2 linked regions of the Ovis aries genome follow. The protein of the gene in region 1 purifies or fractionates together with the protein of each later gene. This does not show direct contact. Links are inferred from orthologs where the notes say so. Each region holds a gene or a part of one and is shown on either strand. Other genes may lie near its edges.

Evidence for each region.
Region 2: the proteins of ITPR1 (region 1) and ERLIN2 purify together in Homo sapiens (affinity purification with western blotting, with the first as the bait; 4 studies listed by BioGRID). This does not show direct contact. The link is inferred for Ovis aries from reciprocal best matches to the Homo sapiens genes ITPR1 and ERLIN2.

What each region holds. Positions count from the first base shown.
Region 1 is NC_056072.1:21,685,438-21,688,937, forward strand, and holds part of ITPR1 (inositol 1,4,5-trisphosphate receptor type 1), read right to left. Parts: intron 2,853-3,500; coding exon 2,733-2,852; intron 1,722-2,732; coding exon 1,527-1,721; intron 1-1,526. UniProt on the Homo sapiens protein: Inositol 1,4,5-trisphosphate-gated calcium channel that, upon inositol 1,4,5-trisphosphate binding, mediates calcium release from the endoplasmic reticulum (ER).
Region 2 is NC_056079.1:32,105,733-32,109,840, reverse strand, and holds the start of ERLIN2 (erlin-2), read right to left. Parts: upstream 2,801-4,108; 5' UTR 2,262-2,800; coding exon 2,235-2,261; intron 1,359-2,234; coding exon 1,237-1,358; intron 1-1,236. UniProt on the Homo sapiens protein: Component of the ERLIN1/ERLIN2 complex which mediates the endoplasmic reticulum-associated degradation (ERAD) of inositol 1,4,5-trisphosphate receptors (IP3Rs) such as ITPR1.

The DNA.
Region 1 (3,500 bases):
ATCAACAAAAATTAAAGAGTGTCACAATATTCAGAGAGCGCAAAGACAAGCAAAAGCTCTCATTTACAACTGGTGAGAGTGTGCACCAAAATATCCAATCTAGGATTGCTTAATGAGTTTAAAATACGCATATGCCCCAATCTCATAATTTCCTGGTATGGAATGGAAATTCCTACACATGCGCACCAATCTGAACAGTGATGTTCCCTGACACGAAGAACTAAATTGTGGCACACAATGAATTCAAAGAGAAAAGAAAATGTTGGCACAGTAATAAATGGAATAACATTCAGCAGTCAAAATTAAAGAAACGGACCTACCACCATTAGCGTGAATCCATTTCAGACTCAATGTTGAATTAAAAGGGCAGGTTTCAGAGAAAAACTCAGAGTATGGAACCATTTATATAAAATTTTAAGGCTGAATAAAATACTATGTGTTATTTATGAATGCAAAGAAATGTAAAATATAAACATACATAGAGTGTGGAAGGTCACCCACCATCTGCGTGAATGGAGAGAACAAACTACAGGAGGGTCACAAAGGGCACTGCAACTGCCAAGTTTTGCTTTTATTAAAAAATGACACTGGCACTACTCTATCCATCTCCTGTTTTCTTTTCTTTTTAAAGTGTTTACTGGTTCCCTTCCCTTGAGGTGGCAGAGTCAACAGGTCTTACAGCTGGGACCAAGGAAACACCAGGATGGGGGTGGAAACCAACCAACATGGCAGGTTCTCGCTGTCCGAGGAAGGAGTTGTGGATAGAGAGGGTGAAGATGAGAATAACCCTACGGTGCTGGAGTGGAGCTGAAAGTCGTGATGTGAACTCAGGGTTTTTATCACATTCATATACATTAATACAGAAACAGACGTGTGTGTGTGTGTGTGTGTGTATGCAGATAGAGACATCAAGAGAGGTGTGTATACACATGCACATTTCTTAGCTCTGCCTGTAAAAGTTCTAAGAGGCTGGCACTATTGTCTCTGTCTTGCAGGTAAAAGAACTGGGACATAGAGGTGGATAACTGGACCCAAGTTAAAAAGTTAGTATGTATCATTGCTTTATTTAAAATGGATAACCAACAAGGACCTACTGTATAGCACATGGAACTCTGCTCAAAGTCATGCGGCGGCCTGGATGGGAGGGGAGTTTGGGGGAGAATGGGTACATGTACATGTATGGCTGCGTCCCTGACAGTGATGCAACTATCGTATTATTAGTCAGCTAGACTCTAACATGAAAGTTTTTTAAAGTCAGTATGTAGAGAGGTGACCCCACAGCCTGACTCGTATCTACCACAAACCACATCCACGTGCTACACTGTGTAGAGACCAACAACTCTGAGAAGGAGCTGATGCAACCGCGCAGCTTCCTTGTGACCAAGCCATGCCCAGGTATCACTGCCCTACTATGTAAGTATTGCTGACAGCTCACACTCTACAAACTCCTGAAAGACACATTTGTCTTTCTGATGGACTGTCTCATGAGAGGACATCACAGGGCGCCCGTGCACAGGCCTACACACCTGTAGTAGCCAAGGACGTCACGGTCTTCCTTCTGGCCCTCCTTGGCATCCTGCGCCAGCTCCCGGACGCTCTTACTGCGAACCTCCTTGTTGCTGTCCCTCCAGAAGAGCCATACTTCTTCCTCATCTTCACCTGCCTCCAGGGCATTCTCTCCAGTAGAAACGCCTTCAAATTCAAAACGGGAGAGCACCAACCTGAAAACGTAGGAGGAGGTGGGAAAACTAATTATGTCTGAAATCCTCGCTTGTCGCTGATCAACTATATTTGTGCTTTGAACTCCAGCTGGGCTTTCAGCACGCACACACACACGCACACGCACACACACACACACACAGCCACTTTGTTTCTCCCTTTGGCAGAACCTCAGGGAGAGACAAACATTGACTTCTTCATATACTTTAGCTCAGGGGTGCCCCACTAGGGCGGCTGTGTCTGCCCATGGGACGCTTGGCAACGTCTGGAGACATCTTTGGTTGTCCCAACTAAATGGAAGAGGTACTGCTGGCAACCGGTAAGTACACACAGGAAGACTGCTGCACTTCCTGTGAGGCACAGGACAGCACCCACAACACAGAACTGCTGGGCCCCAAATGTCAAAGGCCAAGGTTGAGAAAGTCATCTTTCAGCCCAAGCTCAAAATTATGTTATGCATGAGACCCCTCCCCTACAAAAATCGCAAGTTTAGGGCATAAGTGTTTTTAAAAAACATTTCTTTTTTAACATTGATATGTTACTGGCAGTATATGCTTCCCTTTTACAAATGAATCAACTACTACTTTCCAAACTTCTGTAGACCAATGAACACTTTTTGAATAGTGGTAATTTCACAAGTGCTTCCCTACAATGCCTTAATGACAATGAATTACCTCCTTTAAAATTTAAACCTGGGGATCCTAACTGGAGAACTTCCATGTCTTAAAATGAAATCAAGGGTGTGTAAGATGCTCCCCAGTAGTCCACATCACTTTTGACTCAGTAAGCAAAGTCAGTGACATCACCATACAGAGGAGGCCACCACAGCAGAAGCAAGTCCAGTAACTCCTCTAATCAAGATGCTGGCATGAAGTAATCATAGGCCAGCCAACCTGACTTCAGAAGCGAAGGGGCTGGGTTTAACTCCCCATGGCACAGACAACCACCAAGGCACACGCTCTCCATCTAAATCTCGTTCTCACCTTTATAGTCACTCCCCGGCCCCCACTCACTTGGTCTCAATGAGGATGTCGGCATTGGTTGGATTCAGCACGGCTTTACATATCAGTTCCTGAGTCACTGGAATGGATTTGTTCATGGACACACAGAGGTCAGAGAGGTAATCTAAGAATCTGTGGAGAAACAGAAACCAAACCAAATGCTTTTTGTAGCCAGAGCAAGGGTTAGGTCTTGAGGACGTGGCTCTCCCCCCAGAGGGTAGACCCAAGCTACTTTACCACAAGTCAGAGAGGCTTTGGGTTTCAGTGTGCATGGTATCACCAGTTACCCAGACATGGGAGGGCGGGAAGAGAAAGGAGGGAGGGAGAGAGAGGAGGGAGGCAAGGAAGGAGGGGAAAAAAGAAAGAAAGAAAAGCACAAGAAGAAGGATGGGAGTGACTGCTGTGAGGAAGAGGTGATGAGGTAAAAATGAACAGAAGCAGCAACCAAGTAAGATCCAAGCAACCCAAGATGATGCTGGGTACCCAGAGAGGGGAGAGGTCTGATGTTTGAGGCCTAAATCAGAATCCTGGTTCTGGTTCTTCTCCGCTACATTCTGACATGTACTGTTATTTGGGGGAAATTATTTAACCTAACCATGTTTCAGTTTTCTCATCGATAAAAATGGATAACCTTTAACCCCAGAGGGCTCTTCTGAGGATTAAATGAACTAATTCATGTAAAGTGCTTACTCAGTTCAGTCCCTGGCACACGAGAGGGTCCATAAGATGTTAGTTGTTTTTAATAGGTGGGAGGAGTCAGTTTCATAATAACACCTTCAG
Region 2 (4,108 bases), on another chromosome or scaffold:
CCTGCTTTGGCAGGCGGATTCTTAGCTAAGAGAGGAGGTGTGTTTTATTTTTGTCACATCTGTTAAGCTTGTGAGAATCCACAAGGTCAGTTAAGTTCACTAATACAGTGACCAATTAACAATACTAATGTTGGAGTTCAGTGACACAAACAACCAAAAGAATAATTTTAAGGAAACTTTATAAACCATCTAAATATTTTTTGAGGGGCAGTGGAGTTACCTTTGTAGTCATGCTATATGTGAATGGTAATAGAATTAAAACTCATTTTGGGAGACACGCTTCCTTGGTGGCTCAGCTGGTAAAGAATCTGCCTGCAACCTGGGAGACCTGGGTTTGATCCCTAGGTTGGGAAGATCCCTGGAGAAGGGAAAGGCTACCCACTCCAGTATTCTGGCCTGGAGAATTCCATGGACTGTATAGTCCATGGGGTGTCAAAGAGTCGGACACAACTGAGTGACTTTCACTTTGGAAGACACAGAAGCAGATGGTGTTGATGGCACAATTAAAGGGGAGAGTGGAAGCCAATCAGACTTCCAGAACTTGCTATTGGCAGCCAGAGGAAAAGCATCAAAGGGCTTTAATAAAGAGTTCATAAAGGCATATAAGGAATTCACAAAGATTTAAAGCAAAAACTTGGTTATGGACATTACTCAAAGGGCAACCCAAGATTTATAAGCGCTTCTTTGCTTTGTGTTATTTAAGTCACAGATACATTTTTTTTTTTAAAGAGCAATCAAAATAAAGTGACGGAATAGGTCATTTAAGAACCACTATTCTAGAGCTTGCCTCGATGGGTACAAATCAACCTGTAGGCTCTTTCATTTTCCCTGAAATGTTAATTTTAAGGCGTAGGTCCAAATTATATCTCAAGTTGCCATGAAGAACTGGCACTCCTCAGAGGTGAGCTTGTGGTATTAAGGTGCCCAGAGGGAAGTAGGAGAAAACAGTGTTTCAGAGATGATCTTCAAGGAGCAAGGTTGCCTTTACATTTGTCTCTAAACCTAACATGTGTATCAGTTACCATCCACGGCATCAGACAAGTTTCATATTTATATTTCCCTATATTTACGTGCATGAGTGTATCCCTCTTCCATAGTCACCGACACAAAGCTCAGTCTGAAGACTTCCCTATTCAACACAATATAAATGCAACCGGCCAGTAGAATCTGTTACACATTGACTAAGAGAGAGTCATCGAACAGGAAGTTGCAACCTTCTCCCTGTTGCTGCCTTACCTGTAATACACCCCAATATGTCCCTCTTCTATCTTGTGCACCGCCGAGAAGAGAGATGCACAAAAGAAACTGGCAGCCACAGCCACAACCGCTCCCAACTGAGCCATCAGCGAACGTTTACCCTGGGGGAAAAGATACAGGAAAACGTGTGTGCCCTGACTTGTGGGAGGCGAGCTCTGGCAGCCAGAGTAGCTCCCCAAGCTGAGCTCCTGCAAGTGGCTCACGTCCAACCTGTAGTGTGAACACCAGGCTAGATCTACACCTCTTCCTCCTTGCTCTCAGTCGACACCCCTGAGCCTCAGCTGTGGAATTACACTCTCCACTTCTGCAAGAGGCAGTGGCTCCAGACACAGCCCGTGGCCCAAGGGAGAACCAGTGCCAGGTGGGCAGTGTTCAGAACACAGCCCTCTCTTCCTGTGAACATCAACGGGCTGTCACCGGAGCCACTCATGTTAGCAGTAGGGAAAGAGGCAGCTGCAGTTACGTTGGCCCCAAATTACAGAGGATGTCAAGTGACAAGCAGTTGCGGCTGTGTAATTCTGGTCAGAGCCTCCCAGTCCTAATTGCCTGCCATTTCAAAGGAAACCATTATTGACTCCTTTCGGGTGCTGGAGCCACAGAGACAGCCTGAGAGCAGAGTTCAGAAGGGCGGGATTCTCTGGCCTTTCCTCCACCTTCTCCGTTCTTCCTTTGGCCCTAGCCAGATACAGGGTTCTGGGTAAGGATGAAGCCACGCTCCCGCCCATGTGCTTGACTGGCACTTTGCACTTGGCATGTTCTCCTAGCCCACGTTGAGCGGGGGGAGGGTAAGGGGGTCCCCAGGCTGGGAAGACTGGGGCTTCTGGGTCGACAGCATTCAAGCACCAGGACGCGAAAGAATGAGCATCCAGAAGCTCATTTCCTGAACCCCGAATGATCTGGAAGAAACGACAGTAACTGAGAGAGCGCTACGTGCTCAGTCGCTTCAGTCGTCTCCGACTCTCTGGGACCCCACGGACCGTGGCCCGCCGGTCTCCTCTGTCCATGGGACTTCTCCAGGCAAGAAGGCAGGAGTGGGGGTGCCGTCTCCTCCTCCACACTGACAGCGAGGCTCCCGACTCTGCGCGCCCTGGGGCCCGCACGCGCGAGGCGTGGACTCTGCCCCCCGGGTCTGACTGAACTCGGGCGCGGACGTCGGTCTGCGAGGCTCTCCGACGTTCCCCTCGCAGCCTCCGGCTACCGATCGGCAGCGGCGGCAAAAAGCCTTTCCCTCCCCCGTCCGCCCCACCGCGCGCCCCTTCCCTGCCCTCTTCCGAGAGAGGGTCGCGCGGCCCCTCATGAGCCGCAGGATCGGAGCCCTCCCTGAGACCCCGCTCGGCCCCGCCGAGAGGCTACAGCGGGGCAGGAACGAGACGGGAAGGGCTTGCTCGCTCTTTCCCGAGGGACACAGGACGCTGTGCAGGCGACCCGGGAGGGCCTCTCGTCAGTCAGCTCCGGCCCGGGGGCCTCACCGAGGCCCAGCGCGCGCGCGAAGGGGCGCGGGCCGCGTACCACGCTGTCTGTCCCTCCAGGCGCTCCGTACTCTGCCGAAACCCCCAATGCGACCGCAGAAACCGCCACACCCCTCCGCACGCTACTTCCTTCCGGGCCCGTCGCTTCGATGACGCTATTTGTTCACGCGAGAAGACCACACCCCTCACCCCGCGATGGCCGGCCCCGCCCCTGCGCCCCGAGTGGGCAGTGTCCGCGGATGGCCTCCAGGGGGCGCCCGCGGCTCGGTCCGGGCGCTCTGGACCCCGATCTGGGATTTTCGGGTGACCCCCGGGAACCAGCGGAGTGGCCGTGGGTGCTCAGACAGAGACGTCGGTTTCCGAGGATTTGAGTTTGGAGTCTGCTCCGGATCCCCCTCCACATTAGATCAAGCCTGTTTTTTTTTTTTTTTTTTTAAATTTTAACGCCGGAGCAGGTTACCAGCGTATTGCAACCGTTCTAGCTCTCAGCTCCACTTAACCTGTAGCACCGCTGAATGGAACATCCTTTAAATGTGCAGATTAGCACCATTACGTCGCTAATCAACAGTCCCTACTGTGAACTCCCCTTTATGCTTTTCTAGGAGCTTTCGCTTCTGAGGTCCCCACAGCACCGTAAAGTAGATTAAGCAGGAATTATCTCAATTTTTAATGAACAAAATCTAGGTTGAATGAAGTGCGAGGGTAACTGAATCATAGTCGGCTTTCAGTTCAGTTCAGTTCAGTCGCTCCGTCGTATCCAAATCTTTGCGACCCCATGGACTGCAGCATGCCAGGCCTCCCTGTCCATCGCTAACGAGTTTACTCAAACTCATGTCCATTTAGTCGGTGATGCCATCTAACCATCTCATCCTCTGTCGTCCCCTTCTCCTGCCTTCAATCTTTCCCAGCATCAGGTCTTTTCAAATGAGTCAGCTCTTTGCATCAGGTGGCCAAAGTATTGGAGTTTCAGCCTCAGCATCAGTCCTTCCAATGAATATTCAGGACTGGTCTCCTTTAGGATGGACTGGTTGGATCTCCTCGCAGTCCAAGGGATTCTCAAGAGTCTTCTCCAACAGCACAGTTCAAAAGCATCAATTCTTCAGCCTTCTTCACAGTCCAACTCTCACATCCATACATGACCACTAGAAAAACCATAGATTTAGTGGACAGACCTTTGTTGACAAAGTAATATCTCTGCTTTTTAATATGCTATCTAGGTTGTCCATAACTTTCCTTCCAAGGAGTAAGCATCGTTTAATTTCATGGCTGCAGTCACCATCTGCAGTGATTTTGGAGCCCCCAAAAATAAAGTCCGATACTGTTTCCACTGTTTCCTCATCTATTTCCCATGAAGTGATGGGACCAGATGCCATGATCTTCGT